Anolis sagrei: one gene and its partner. The protein of the gene in region 2 interacts with the protein of the main gene of each other region in a biochemical or structural test. Links are inferred from orthologs where the notes say so. Each region holds a gene or a part of one and is shown on either strand. Other genes may lie near its edges.

What was found.
Region 1: the proteins of PRPF40A (region 2) and MECP2 form a complex in vitro, tested with the Homo sapiens proteins (2 studies listed by BioGRID, with this or other methods). The link is inferred for Anolis sagrei from reciprocal best matches to the Homo sapiens genes PRPF40A and MECP2.

The regions. Positions count from the first base shown.
Region 1 is NC_090022.1:175,856,477-175,864,142, reverse strand, and holds the start of MECP2 (methyl-CpG-binding protein 2), read right to left. Parts: upstream 3,056-7,666; 5' UTR 3,002-3,055; coding exon 2,964-3,001; intron 1-2,963. UniProt on the Homo sapiens protein: Chromosomal protein that binds to methylated DNA. It can bind specifically to a single methyl-CpG pair. It is not influenced by sequences flanking the methyl-CpGs.
Region 2 is NC_090021.1:204,089,720-204,097,652, reverse strand, and holds the start of PRPF40A (pre-mRNA-processing factor 40 homolog A), read right to left. Parts: upstream 3,106-7,933; 5' UTR 2,827-3,105; coding exon 2,410-2,826; intron 1-2,409. Other genes in the region: ARL6IP6 (ADP-ribosylation factor-like protein 6-interacting protein 6), read left to right, coding at 3,476-3,791, 5,554-5,607, 7,148-7,280.

The DNA.
Region 1 (7,666 bases), on a different chromosome or scaffold from region 2:
AGTAGAACATGGGGTAGTACGACCATCAATACTATGTTATGAACAGATCATCTATGCCCTTTCACTTGTTTGCCCTCTTAGTTTAGGCACTCTGGCAGTGAGGGCTGGCTCTGTAGCACTACAAGTAAAATGAACTATTGCCCGTATCCAATGAACTAATGAACTATTCCCTATATTCTTTCCCTTTCTGCAAGATAAAAACGAGGGCATTTGACTCAGCAAATCCAATCCTTCTTAGCATGACTACCAGAGGGAGAGGAAAGTACAAGCAAGCAGAAGTTATAGTGGTTCTGATTCAAACCATTACAGACTCCACTTATCAATTCACATTGGTCTCAGACACCACACTTGGTCCACCCTAAGCTGCACAAAGAGATAAAGCCATTGAGCAAGTAGAGTCCCCAAAATGAGAATAAATGATTAACCAAGAGCAGTAAAGGCCATTATTTCCAATCATCACACCCCAATTCTCCCCACCAAGATTGGGAAAGGAAATGTACTTGTGATTTGTTTATGGACCTAGACACTTACATAGTACCCTGCCTCAGAGGACTGACACACAATGGACTTATATTTTTGAATAAACGATGGTCACAAGGAACCAGTACTCTTCACTCCAATTAGTCACCAACCTATGAAGGCCTATATCTCAGTGGAAAGAGATAAGGACTGGACCACTGAGGCTACTGAAAGCAACTGAGCAACCGTTTTCTCTGATCACTTGATCTCCACCTCCAGAGGATGCTGACCCCATACATCACCCATGCCCAGGTGGCTATTCTTCACAAGAGTTGTCCCCTCATCACAAATTCACTGGTGACCACAAGTCAGCAGCAGTTCACAAATATCATACACTCTTCAGACAATGTTACAGAGCAGCTCTGTATATAAATATAATGTATTTCCTTGACTGTAAGATGCAATCAGTTGTAAGAAATTCAGGATCACCAACAGAATTTTTTTCATTTAGATACCGTATTTATCCATTATAAACCACCATTGATTATAACGTGCACATTAATTCTAGCACAGCAACAGAAAAACTGTATCTATATATCTATACATATCAATACTAAGAGATACCCCATTTGTAGATATGTTTATTTGAGGGGAAAGTGAGCTTTTGAATCGAGAAAAAACAGTATATTAAAAGTTCCCGCAATTCTAAGGTCCCTCCAACACAGCTGTATAAAATCCACATTGAACTGAATTATATGGCAGTGTGGACTTAGAAACCCTTTTCTTCAATAAGGCTTTTAAAGATGACAGAGGGCCCTTCCACACAGCCCTATATCCCAGAATATAAAGACAGAAAATCCCACATTATCTGAGTGTGGACTCAGATAACCCCATTCAATGCAGATATGGTGGGATTTTCTGGCTTGATATTTTCGGGGTTATATGGCTGTGTGGAAGGGACCTCAGATAACCCCATTCAATGCAGACATGGTGGGATTTTCTGGCTTGATATTTTCGGGGTTATATGGCTGTGTGGAAGGGACCTCAGATAACCCCATTCAATGCGGATATGGTGGGATTTTCTGCCTTGATATTCTGGGATATAGGGGTGTGTGGAAGGGCCCTGGGTCATATGGCTGTGTGGAAGGGCCCTCAGATAACCCCATTCAATTCAGATATGATGGGATTTTCTGCTTTGATATTCTGGGTTATATGGCTGTGTGGAAGGGCCTTGAGATAACCCAATTCAATGCAAATATGGTGGGATTTTCTGCCTTGATATTCTGGGTTATATGGTTCTGTTGAAAGGCCTTTAGATAGCCCCATTCAAAGAAGGTTTGGTGGGATTTTCTGCCTTTACATTCTGGGATATAGGGGTGTGTGGAAGCGCCCTGGGCCATATGGTTGTGTGGAAGGGCCTTTAGATAACCCCATTCAAAGAAGGTTTGGTGGGATTTTCTGCCTTAATATTCTGGTTATGTAGCTGTGTGGAAGGGCCCTCAGATAACCCCAATCAAAGCAGAAATGGTGGGATTTTCTGCTTGATATTCTGGGTTATGTAGCTATTTGGAAGGGCCCTCAGATAACCCCATTCAAAGCAGAAATGGTGGGATGTTCTGCCTTGATATTCTGGGTTATGTGGCTGTGTGGAAGGGCCCTCAGATAACCCCACTCAAAGCAGATATGGTGGGATGTTCTGCCTTGATATTCTGGGTTATGTGGCTGTGTGGAAAGGCCTTTAGATAACCCCATTCAAAGGTTTGGTGGGATTTTCTGCCTTGATATTCTGGATTACGTGGCTGTGTGGAAGGTTGTGTGGAAGGGCCCTCAGATAAACCCATTCAAAGCAGATATGGTGGGATGTTCAGCCTCGATGTTTTGGATTATGTGGCTGTGTGGAAGGGCCCTTGGTGGTACACAGGGTAGGCCTGGTCGGGCCCTTCACAAGAGGAGAGCCCTGAAATACAGCCTTCCCGCAAAGACATGCTGCCCAATGGCCCCAACAACCTGGAGCCTGCGTTGGCGAAGTTGGTGTGAGCAGGTCCCTGAAGGGCCTGTCGGGCAAGTAGCAGCTTCAGGCAGTGAGGAGGGCCCCCTGCGAGGAGGAGGAGGAGGAGGCTGCCTGAAGGGGCCATTCAGGCGCGCGCGCCAGGAATTCGTTCGGCGTGACCCCTGACCCGGGCCCCTCTCCCCCTCCCCTCCCTCCTTGCGGAAAGGCCGGCCCCTCCCATTGCTGGGCAGAGGGGACCGCTGTGACGCACTCAGGGGCCCTGGGCGCGCGCAGGAGGGAAGGCAGGCGGGAGGGAGGGCTAGGCGAAGGGAGGGGAGGGGAGGGGAGGGCGCCCGCGAGCGGGAAAAAAAAGAGGCAGCCCAGCGGCCGCAGCCCTGCCTCGCACCTCTCCCCCCTCTCCGGACGCCACAGATGGTCCCGCCCGGACCCCCCGCGCCAGGGGCTCGATGGTCCGGCCCGGCTCTCCCCCACCCCTTCCCCTCGAGTCACTCACAATCTCTCCTCATCTCCGCTCGGCGCCGCCGCCGCCATTTTCTTCGCAGCGAAGAACCCGCGGGAGGGGGGGGAGAGGAGGGGGGGAAACCGAGCCGGAGAGGAAACCCGGAGAGCCAGGCCCCGCCCTCCTCGGCTGCCATTGGGCGGCGCGCCCCATCAGTCAGGGCGCCCCCCGAGAGCGATTGGCCGGCGCCTTTCCACACGGGCGAGGCGGCCCTGCTTCCTTGCGGCCGTTAGAATTGGCGGGAAGCGCTGTCAGTTACAACGGTACGAAGTAGGCCGCGGAGAGGAGCCCGCGCTCTTCGCCATTGGCCCTCTCTCGCCACCAGGCCTCAAGGGTTTGGAAATGCCGCCCCTGAGCAGGCCGCTCCCTGTCGTCATGCGAGCAACCTTCTCAGCATATGTCAGGGCTGTCCCTTTCATGTGGCCCATCAAGTAGCATCAAGGTCATGTTCCCACAGCTTCCTGAGAAGACCAACAGACGGTCGCAATTCACCTCAGGGCCTTTGAACAGCCGAACTGGACAAATAATATATTTCCGTGAATGACAGCAATTCTTGTACCGTGACAGCACAGATTCCCCCAAGGACTGTTTTACCCACATCACAGGCATTTTGTTTCCTCCTCAGATGGTCCAGCGTTCTCACCCACACCTGTAAAGCACCGCATACATCTTTACCACAGCAGTGGCAGAATTCCTAGTGGCAAATTCACCACCATAAGAGGCCAGCTGGGGCGATGTGCTTCACTGCAGGGATAGGAAATAGTGTGCCTTTGCTGACATACCTCTTATTGGAAAGCAGATGTGCTGCAGCTCTAGATGGGGAAAAAAACACTCCCTCTCAGGTGAGAATAACAAACAAAAATCCCTGTCCTATTTTCAAAGCTAAACACTAAAGCAGGGGTCCTCAAACTAAGGCCCGAGGGCCGAATACAGCCCTACAAGGTCATTTACCCAGCCCTCGTTCAGGGTTGACCTAAGTCTTGAAAGCACACAACAGCAATCCTTTCTCAGCAGCCAAAAGCAGGCCCACACTTCCCATTGAAATACTAATAAGTTTATATTTGTTAAAATTGTTCTTCATTTTAATTCTTGTATTGTTTTTAAGTGTTTTTTGCACTACAAATAAAATATGTGCAGCGTGCATAGGAATTAATTCATGCTTCATTTTAATTATTGTATTGTTTTTAAGTGCTTTTTGTACTACAAATAAAATACATGCAGCGTGCATAGGAATTAATTCAATTAATTCATGCTTTTTTCAAATTATAATCTGGCCCTCCAACAGTTTGAAGGACTGTGACCTGGCCCTCTGCTTAAAAAGTTTGAGGACCCCTGCACTAAAGGATACAATAGACACCCTTTAATATCTGGAGAAAGGACGTGATGTGATTTATTTTCATATTCCTGACAGAACTGTTAAAACTAGTTTATTCCTCTGTGTGTCCTTAAACAGCCTCTTGACTTATAGAAACCCTGTCAATTTCATAAGATTTTCTTTAGCAAGGAATACTCAAGAAGTGGCTCGCTACTGACTCGCATATAGCCAATAATACCTTGAATTCTCCCATTATTATTCTTATAATGCAATTTGTTTCATAAAGATCAAGTAGACAGACAGAGGCGGCCCTAGGTAATTTTCAACAGTAAGCAAACAGTATTTTGGCGCCTCCCCCCAACCAATCATTGATATATATTTTCTGTTCGTCGTGGGAGTTCTGTGTGCCATATTTGGTTCAATTCCATCATTGGTGAAGTTCAGAATGCTCTTTGATTGTAGGTGAACTGTACATCCCAGTAACTACAACTGGCATATGTCAAGGTCTATTTTCCCCCAAGAATGCCTCAAGAGCACTCCTGGGCAAAATCAACTATACTGCAAATGCTTACTTTGCGTAATGGGTTGAGCCGCCCCTGTAGACAGAATATATTGTAAAGAACAAAAATAACTTTCTGGCCTTGCATTACACATTTTAGTGCAAATATTAAGACACAAATAGTGTTCAATTCAGCAGGTATTGCAGAGTGTCATGCCAGTCTTATTTATTTATTTCTACTTTTCTTCCGAATCGGAATTTATTTCTACTTTTCTTCCGAATCGGAACTTAAAGCAGCCAACACCATGTAAATAAAACATACATAAAAATAAACATAACCAACAGATCAGAACATATCTGATAAAATTATAAACCCGCAACACACGTAATACGTGACGCAAAAAACAATTTATTCCGTAGATTAAAACCGCAAACTAAAACTAAAATCCATTCTTTTAGGCTGTTGTCAGTGATTGGGCAAATAAATTTTCTTCAAATCACAATTTTATAAATAAAAATGTATCATTTGTTTACCATATTGTATTAAACACAGAGACAGTTACATAAACATGACCATCAAGTAATATCATTATGAACATTTGGCTTTTGGTACTTTTAACAGTGCAATCCTACATAGTGTCTATTCCAATATAATTTCCTTTGGATAAAATGGTGCTTGCTCCCCAGAAAATTAGAATAATTCACTTTAACTTACAGATTCAGAAACATGACAGATTCAGTGTATAGCAATGAATGTGGAAAAAATTGAATTTTAAAGGGTGTTTTTTTAACCTGAGAGAACATAACTTTAGGAATTTCTAAGTCACCATGACTTTATGATTAACTTCCAGTGGACGTTGATTGTATAATTGTGCTGGAGAATCTAGACATTCTTACAACATAGTAATCAAATCCGCAAATGTGAAATCCAGGAATATGAAATGTCAGCTGTAAATCCAGACATACACTTCATATGAGTATCCTGTTCTAAAAGCAGTGTAGCCATGTTTGTGCTATAAAAAGCTACCACATAACATTCATTTATGCAAAATAAGTGAGATGGAGGAAACCTAGTGGAAGACGTGCTTGATGTGGCTCATACCACTAGGAGAAACAGAACTGATGTTGAAGGCCGCAAGGCAACCAATTGCTGTCAGTTGGGCAAGATATGCCTTTCTCCCTCATAATGGTGAGCAGTGTTGGGAATGACTACTTCTCTTGAATGTCGCTTTGATAACATGCCAAATAAATACGCAGATACAAGTGAAAACGAACAGATCACTAGAGTGGGAAAGGTGTGGAAATGAAACAACAGGAAACTTTACTGTCCCGTCATTTGCCATGTGCATGCATTAGACACGCATCTGCCCCCTACTGAATGTTGAAGTCCACAAATGTATAGAAACCTTGATGCTGGAGGCCCAATACAAAAGCTGTCAAGCAGAATTTAATTTTCTAGGTTTAAAAATAAGAATGTTGATGATGTGCATAATTTCACATTTTTAAAACCAAAGTCCACAAGAATTGTGTCCATCGTATCTATTATCTCTGCAATCCTTCCACATCACACCAGAAGTTTTCTCTGGCCACTATTTGTTTCACAACTACATTTTCCAAAATTCATTTCTTATAAGACACGTGGGTTTTTAGTATATCTGTGACAAAAAAATTATTCTACATATATAACCTAATGTCAGTGTACATGCATGACAGATAAACCATCATTTACTAAATTCAGAATACCTGCTAAACACATGGAAGCCCTACAATTTTTTTTCTCAGCCAACCTAAAACTGTCCTAGTTTCATCAACTGAACTACAGTCATGTCTTTTCACGTCCATTTGAACTGGATAAACATGTCAGAGTCCCTCTGTTATTCTCTTAATGATCACAGTCTTACTCAGATTGGAATCCTATTCTCCCACCCACTATTTATATAGAAATATGGCTGAGTCATTCAGTGGATCCATATGATGTCCTATACAATCACTTCGCACATGCACACAAACAATACAATCTCAACCCTGCAACAAAGCTGCACTGTCCCTACATATGTTTGACACACTAATTTGAATCACAATAGTGTTCCTTTTAAAAATGAACTTGTAGACCAATCTGTTTCACAAATTACATGTTGCTTACAGCATTTTAACACATTTTCCTCATTACTCTGTTTTGTAAAACTCAGCCCTTTCATAAATATTTTAAAAAGATAATTTCCTTCTAAATGCCTTTTGTTCTATAGCTTTTAACATAATGCGGGAAATGAGAAGAATCAGGACTACAGTAAAAATATATAAAAGTTTAAATATATTTTTTATTTGTAGTATGCAGTCATTCCAGCCGAAAAGTATTGTGACAGGTTTTAGAATATATTTGTGTGTTTCAACTGTTTTATATGTTTGTATTTTCCTTATACTAAAATTTCAATGATTAAGATTATTTTGTGGGAAATATTTCTGTGATTTTTTTTATTTGTGTAAGTATTTGCCAGAAAAATATAGTCTTTATACTAAAACCATCATCCAAGCATACTGACAGTACAGTTCTATGATTGTTTAGCAGAAGTGAGTTCTGTTGTGCTCTATAAGTATTGCTCCTAAGTAAATGTAAATAGATTTCATTCTAAATACAATACTGAATATATCTTCTGAAAAAAGCCACACTGAAATAATCAGGTCACAGCAAAATAAATATGTACAAGATTCCAGTGTTTCCAGATTTATATAAATCTCCAAAATCTTGTGGTGATCTTTTATTGATCAATCAAAAGGTGCAGTGCAATATGTGCAATTATTCTAATTATATGAGCATTTAAGCCATGATGAAATTAATTGGACACTTTGTTGTTTTTAATTTCTCTCACGTCTACTTTGACTTGT
Region 2 (7,933 bases):
TATTATGTATAGTGCATAGAACTCCTCTACTACAAGTATTTACCAAACAATACTATTTAACATTAGAAGCCATTTTTAAAAATTATTTTTAGAAGCCCGAGAATACACCTCTCCAGGAATCTCTAGGTTCCTCAGCATGATTCTATGGTCAACTTCGGCTAGTATCATGCTGGAGCAATCTAGTGATTCCTAGAGAGCTGGTCTTGGTCCTCCAGTGTGATTCCGACAGAAGTTGCACTGGAAGGCACAGATATTCTCATGAGAAAACATTTCAATTAATCAGTGCATACTCAAATCACCAAATCAAAACCTGAAAATATGGGAAGACTGACTGTATACAATATATACTGTAGGACCCAACATAAATGGGCCGGCAGAACATTGGTTAAGTGAAAATGTTGGATAATAAGGAAGGATTAAGGAAAGCCTATTCAATACATATTATAATTTTACAAATGAAGCACCAAAACATCATGTTTTACCTGGAATGAAAATGCAATCAATACGAAAGGCAGGGGTGGGAGTGGGTACCAGTTCCAAGCCTGCTTTTTGTATCAATTGCCTGGGGCCTGGCAGTGCCTGCAGCCGAGCACTGAGTAAGAAGTGCTCCTTACTTGGTGTTTGGCTGCAGGCCCTCCCAGGCCCAGGCATGTAGGCCAGGAAGCCTGCACCCATAGGTACGAAGTGCCCAGTCCTACAGGTGCAAGCTGTGGGGCTATGCATTCGGCCTCGCAGGGCCTGCAGCTGAGCACTCAGTAAGGAGCGCTCCTTACTTGGCACTCAGCTGCAGACCTTGCAAGGCCCAGGTGCATAGGCCCAAAGCCTGCACCCACAGGCTCAGGCAGTTTGGGCCTACGGGTGAAGTCTCCTCCCTCAACAATAGGCTGAAAGAAAACAGATCTTTTGGCCCTGAAAACAAAAACAAAAATATCTGACCTCCCGAATTCAGGAGGCTCAGACAAAAACGGATTGGGCCCCCCACCTAAAGCCGGGACACAAAACGGATTAAGGTATGTCCCAAATGCACATGACTACTAGTCATCATGAAGATAATAAAGCTGTCTGAGACTGAAGAAAAGAGTAATAAAACCAATTGTGTGGAATACCACACATGCAAAATAACTTTTTCTTACATTGAGCCTCCATTTGTCTACATAAATTGCTTTTGGTTCTGACATTTTCCTATGTCCAGACTTAAGGGTTTAAAGGACTTCAAAGCACTCATGCGTCAGGGTACAAAAATGGCTTTATAAAGGTACAATAACAAGTTTATATATTAACAGGAATCAAGAAAATATTACCTTTCTACTCCACTAGCAGTGAACACATTGAATCTGGAACTTGAACCAATTATCAAGTACTGTATCTACCTCTAAATTGCTTAGCAACCAACCTACGAACCCATTCAAAACATTTTCCTGGTACATAAAGATTTAGGTGTGACTAAATACTTATTTTATTTTGTTACTTCATGTATCTTATTGTGATGTAATTTTTGTTGCTTTCTATTTTATTTTGCTGTATTGTATTTTTGGGCTTGGCCTCATGTTAGCCGCCCTGCGTCCCCATTGGGGAGATGGTGGCAGGATATAAATAAAGATTATTATTATGCACTATAAGAGGGTTTTGCTAGACCAGTCATTCTCATTGCAATGGTGTAGTAACAGTGAGGATGCAGACCATATTTTAGTCCTGGTGGTCCATAGATCCCCAGGTTTTTTGTGTGTGTCAGGAGTGACTTGAGAAACTGCAAGTCATTTCTGGGTGAGAGAATTGACTGTTTGCAAGAACATTGCCCAGCAGATGCCCAGATGTTTGATGTTTTACCATCCTTGTGGGAGGCTTCTCTTGTGTCCCTGCATGGGGAGCTGGAGCTTGACTGACATGAGCTTACCCTGCTCCCTAGGTTCGAACTGCCAACCTTTTGGTCGACCAGTTCAGTTGCGTAAGGGTTTAACCCAGTGGTTCTCAACCTGTGGGTACCCAGGTGTTTTGGCCTACAACATCCAGAAATCCCAGCCAGTTTATCACTTGTTAGGATTTTTGAGAGTTAAAGACCAAAACATCTAGGGACCCACAAGTTAAGAACCACTGGTTTAACCCATTGCACCACCAGGGGCTCTTGACCACAGGACATAAAGGGATAAATACCACACAAAATTGGGAGGCTTGCGAAAGCGGGTTGGAGGAAAGTGTTGGGGGTGTAGTTGAGGGTCGGCAACCAAACGGGCACGAGAATGAATGCTGCCTGGCATTACTGTAACCGCTATGGAATCCTGGGAGTTTGGAGTTTGGTGAGGCGCCGGCACTTTTTGGCATGTAAGTCCCAAGGCATTGTGTGCAGGCACGTGAAGCGGCGCCAGGCTGCATTAAGTCTGCGTGGGGGTCAAGGGCCACGCCAAAACTCACCATGAGGGCGTCTCGGCCCATGCCGCCGCCGCCACCTCCGCCTCCACCGGGTCCTCCTCCTCCTCCTCCGGGCCTCATGGCCGGGTTGAGAGGGTTCCCCCCGCCTCCGGGGCCTCCTCCTCCTCCGGGGCCGCCTCCTCCTCCTCCGCACCTGCCGAGCATCCTTCCCCGGAGCGGCTGGCGGGAAGCGGGCCCGAAGGGCAGTAGGGGCTCGGGCTCCCCGCGCGGGGGCAGGAGCGGCGCCAAGAGGCTGACGGGCTTCCCGGAGGGCCAGTCGGGGCCGCGGCCTCTCTTGGGCGACTGCTCAGGGCCCGGCCGGACGCCCTCGCCCGGGTTGAGCTGCATGAGGGGGGGCGGCTTGGGCAGCGAGAAGGGCAGCGCCTGCGGGGAGGCCGCCGCCGAGTCCCCGCCTGACATGGCCGGCCGGGCGGCCTCCCTCCCTTTCTCTCTCGAGCGAGCGCCTAGGCCCGGCCTGCCTGCCTGCTTGCCTGAGGAGAGGGGCGCGGAAGGAACTCCCCGGGGGGGAAATTTGCGCGCGGAGTGGGGGGAGGGGGGCGGCTTTGTCGTCGAAAGTCAGCCTACGGCGCGGGCGGGGCCGAGAAACAAACAAAAAAACCCTCTTGTGTCTTCCTCGCCGCAGGAGGCCAAAGCGGCGCGGGCAGGCGGGCAAGGCCGGGCCTCGTCCCACCAGAAGAAGGCCTCAGGCGGAGGAATGGGAAGCACAGGCGGGAAGGGGGAGGGGAGGGAAAAAAAGAGACGGGCCGCGCAAAGGACACTGGGAAAGCGGCTTCCGCTAGCAGGGCTACGGAAGCCCAAGAGGGCCCTTCCTTAGCCCAGGGAAAGGAGGAGGGGGCGGGCAAAGAGAAAGGAGAGCCGTTGTGAGGGTTAAGAAAAGGGGAGGGTTCAAGGCGCGGAGCATGATGGGAGGCCACTCGTTGCCGTTACGCAGGAAAAGGCGGGGCTTCTAGATTTCCCCACCCACCTTTTTTCTTGCCTAGACTTCCGGTGTAGGCCGAGTGGTGGGCCTCTGCTTCCCCCGCCCCTCCTGCCTGAGTGTTCGGTTGCCATGGCAGCGTCCTATCGGGGCTCCAGCCAGAGCGGGCCTAGCGCGGCTTGGACGCCGGACGGAGGCGGGGTGGCGCGGACCCTGGAGGCGGACTTCGAGGAGGAGGAGGAGGGCGAGGGAGGGGGTGCGGGAGGCGTGCTGGGCGGCCTTGGGCGAAGCTACGAGGCCTCCCCCGCGAATTCTCCTCGGGCGGGCCTGCTCGGGGTGTCGCTCCCCGGGCGCCGGTGGCCCAGCAGGATCTGCGCTGTGTTCTGCTGCCTCCTGGCCGTGACCTTCCTGGCCTTCTTGCTCGCCCTCGGCTGCCTGGTGCTGAGAGGTGAGCGCTGGGGGGGCGGGGGGCGCTCGGAACCCGCCGAGAAACGCCAAATTGGGCCCTCCAGGAGTTCTGGCTCCCCACTCCCACAATTCCAAACAGCCCCAGGCCCCGTCCTTCCCCCCCTCAATCGCTTAAGCCCCAAAGTGGTTCACTCCTGAACTGGATCTGATGCAACATGGCTGCACTGGAGGAGGAATGCAGTTTGACACCCAGTTTAACTGCCATGGATCAATGCAATTCTTCCCAAGAGTTATAGGTTTACAAGGTCTTTGGCCTGTTCTGCCAGAAGCCCCATCTGCACTTCCATTGAACTGCATTCTATGGCAGTGTAGACTCGTATAATACAGTTCAGTACAGTGACGTACATTATACAGCATTGTAGATGGGGCCAAATGTCCCCCTGGTGGCACAGCAGGTTAAACTGCTGAGCTGATGAACTTTACTGACTGAAAGGTCAGCGGTTCAAATCCAGGAAGCGGGGTGAGCCCCCACTATTACCCTCAGCTTCTGCCAATCTAGCAGTTCGAAAACATGCAAAATGTGGGTAGATCAATAGGTATCACTTCTGCGGGAAGGTAGCAGTGCTCCATGCAGTCATGCTAGCCACATGACCTTGAAGACGTCGACGAACAACACCGGCTCTTTGGCTTAGAAATTGAGATGAGCACCCCCCACCACCGCCCAGAGTTGGACACGAATAGACTTAATGTCAGGGGAAACCTTTACTAGATGGGGCCAAAAGGTGCTGGTGCCTCACCAAGCTCCCAGGATTCCATAGCATTGAGCCATGGCAGTTAAAGCGGTGTCAATCTGAATTAATTCTAAAGTTTACTGTCACCCTACGCAAGCATAGTTATGATGGGTCATGCGTGATTGGCTAAAGGTTCACAGTGAGTTCACAGGAAAGCAAGACTCAGTTGTAGCTTATTAATACAAATATAGTGCCAACCTCTGGAATTTTAGAAGAAAAATATCCCCCATATTGGATAAACGGATACCTCAGTCTTTGCTATTATTATTTATAGTATGTGCGTAGTGTTTGTCGTCGCATTGCCTGTGAAGGGCAAGGAATACTCAGAGGTTTTGATAGTTTCTTCATCTGAAATAAAGTATACAGCATCCATCAATCCTTGATGGTCCTTTATCCTTGTAGTAAGCAGTATTGATACAACTTCGCTTCCAAGATCAGAGAAGATCTGGTGCTTTTAGGTATTTAGGCCCCTGCTTCATAATATATTGGATGGTTACACGCCCTGGTGTGTGTGTGCATGCACATGCCTTTAGACTACCTGACTGTTTATGGCGTTCCCATGTATTTGATTGGGTTTTCTTAGGCAATGAATACTCAGAGGTGGTTTTACCAGTTTCTTCCCTGAAATACAGCCAACAGCACCTGTTGGCTGTATTTCACTGGGAGCCTCCCATCTAAGTGCTAACCAGGTCTGACCATGCTTAGCTTCCAAGATCATATGGGATCTGATTCTACACGATATACATATTATTTACCACATTCAAAGCTAAATTTCACTCAGGCATTCTTGATGTCATAGGAGTTTCTATGTACATATATTTATAGACAGGTGAATGTACCCAGGCTACAGCATAGAGAAGTTCAGGAAAGAGAGGATGTGGCCAATTTTCATGATTGCAAAGAGACAAAATGATTTTCTTTTCTTAAAAAAAACATAAGCAAGATATTCAAAATGTTTTCTGAGGGTAGGTCCCAGTGGCTACTGTAGATAACCATGCCTTCTCCTTGCAGATTTGAGATATGAAAAAGCAAGGGCTGAAGATACTGTAGAAACAAGTATTTTAGGTAAGACATTTTTAAAATTCATTCATTGTGGAACACTTACTGGTGCATTACTCATTCTTGGATCAATGACTGCTATATTTTAAAAATGATTCTTTTTTAAAGGAACAGTAAAATTATCCAACACCTTAATTAATAATCAAAATAAATATCCTACATTTGAGGTTTATAATGTTCAATGAGTGCTAATATGTATTCCATTCATATTCCAAAAAAATATTTCCAAGCATGCCTACATTTGTAAATTTAAAATTATAACAAATCATGTATGCTGAAATCACATTACAGTTATCTTGATTTATGCCTTAAGTGTCTTATGTTATTCTACCCACTCACTTAGTATAAAATGAATTATTAAGTGCTTTAGAGTGAGGTGGGTATAATGTAACCACAAGACCATAATTGAGGTCACCACCACCTATATTTTTAAATTTTTCCTTAAAACCAAAAACAACTTTTAAGTTTTCTCTTTCACAAATGTGCTTGCTCTCCTTGGTCTGTTATAGTCTGGAGGAGGAGCTTTATATAGAAGCAGAAGTTATTCTTCCTCATTTAAAAATGCCTCTTCCTCCTTTTTTAATAAGGGTCCTCCTTCTTTCCTTACATTACATTTTTATAGCACAATGTCTCACGTCTAACTATCATGGCAACATATTGTAGATTTCCAAGGTTTTTAGTTGGGGGGTGGGGAAAGACCTCTGTGGTGGAGAATCCTAGGTACTCTTCCCTAAACTTCAAATCCCAGGATCCTTTAACTACCATTGGTATGGTAGTTTATGTGAAACCATACTGCTATAGCAATCTAGTGTTATAAGGATCTCAGTCTAAACCAGCAGAGGATAGGAAAATCAAAAACATAGTGAGATTGCTCACCTTAGAGGAGGTAATTATGAGTATAATGATTTTTTTTTTCCAAAAATGGGATTGGAATGACAAGCACTGTGTGGGGTGGGGGGATATACGTTCCATTGAAGGCAACATATATTCCCTGTACTTTGAAAGCTAACTCCTTGTTTGCTATGAATAAAGCAGTCAAAAATACTATGAAGCTACTATCTGGAGCAAGGTTCCCAGGAAATTTTTATGTGACCCCAGCTATATAGGTATATAAAAAGTTATATAAATCAAACACTTACTAATAAATCAGCATTTGCAAGGCTTGCTGAACAGTCTGGTTTTCCTTTTTTGTGCAATATAGCTACAGCGATTTCTGCAGAGTTGTTGCTAACAGAGTTGTTGTAAATATCTAGGTGGCATTCAGAAAGAAAATTGTTACCAAATTTGTCGTGAACCCAACATAGAGCTAAGGGGACCCCATTTGAGGCCAGAACCCTCAGTTTAAGAAGTAATGGTCCAGGTATTATATGGGAATATTCCACATTCATCATCTGAGTAAATATGTGTAGATAGAATTGTATTTAGACAATTGTATGCCTGTTACCTCCTTTGTTTTTCTACTTTCTAGCAATAACTCCTGTGTATTATCTTTTTAATGTTGTATTTTAAGCTTTCAATGTTTACTACTGTGCTCTTCTTTTGCAAGGATTTTGGACTCTTCTTGTTCTGTCATTAATGGCTGGGCTGTCGTGCTGCAGTTTTTCCTGGACAGTGACATACTTTGATTCCTTTGAACCAGGAATGTTTCCTCCTACCCCACTCTCTCCTGCACGATTCAAGTGAGTATCGCTTTACTAAGATTAAAATGTGACGTGTTGTAGAAATTGCAAATCAGCTGTAGAAATTCATACATTAGGCACACCAAGTATAACATAGTGTGTAACTCAAGATGTTTAAGGAACAATCTTAATAAACTTGTTGATTATAACACAATTGTGCTTTCTAGAAAATAAAATCATACTTTATGTTGATTGGCTACCTGAGTGAAGTCTCAAATGTCCAGTTAGAATGGCATGAACTCTATAGGCAGTATCTAGTGATGGTATTTCACTGGCAGAATAGCAGCATTCAACAAAACTGGTAAGAGGCAGCTTTTCTACAGTAGACCACTGTGCAAGCCCCAAACCCAATCTGGAGAACTTAGAAACTGAACAGACAACTGAAACAGGAAAGAAAGAAAGATTGGATTTACTTCTATCTTTAGTCAAGGATTTAATTCTTGGAGAAACAAATAAGGAGAGGATATAGGTGCAGAGCCCATACATTGCATTTCATGCAAAAGGCCCTACATTCATTCCACACAATCTTTTTTGAAAACAACTCCTGCCTGAAAACCTGGTGAATGGTTTCCAACAGTATAGGCAAGATAGACCAATATTTTCCTGTACTTTCCATTCTAGCTAATGTAATCTTCTGGCTATGTTGACTATTT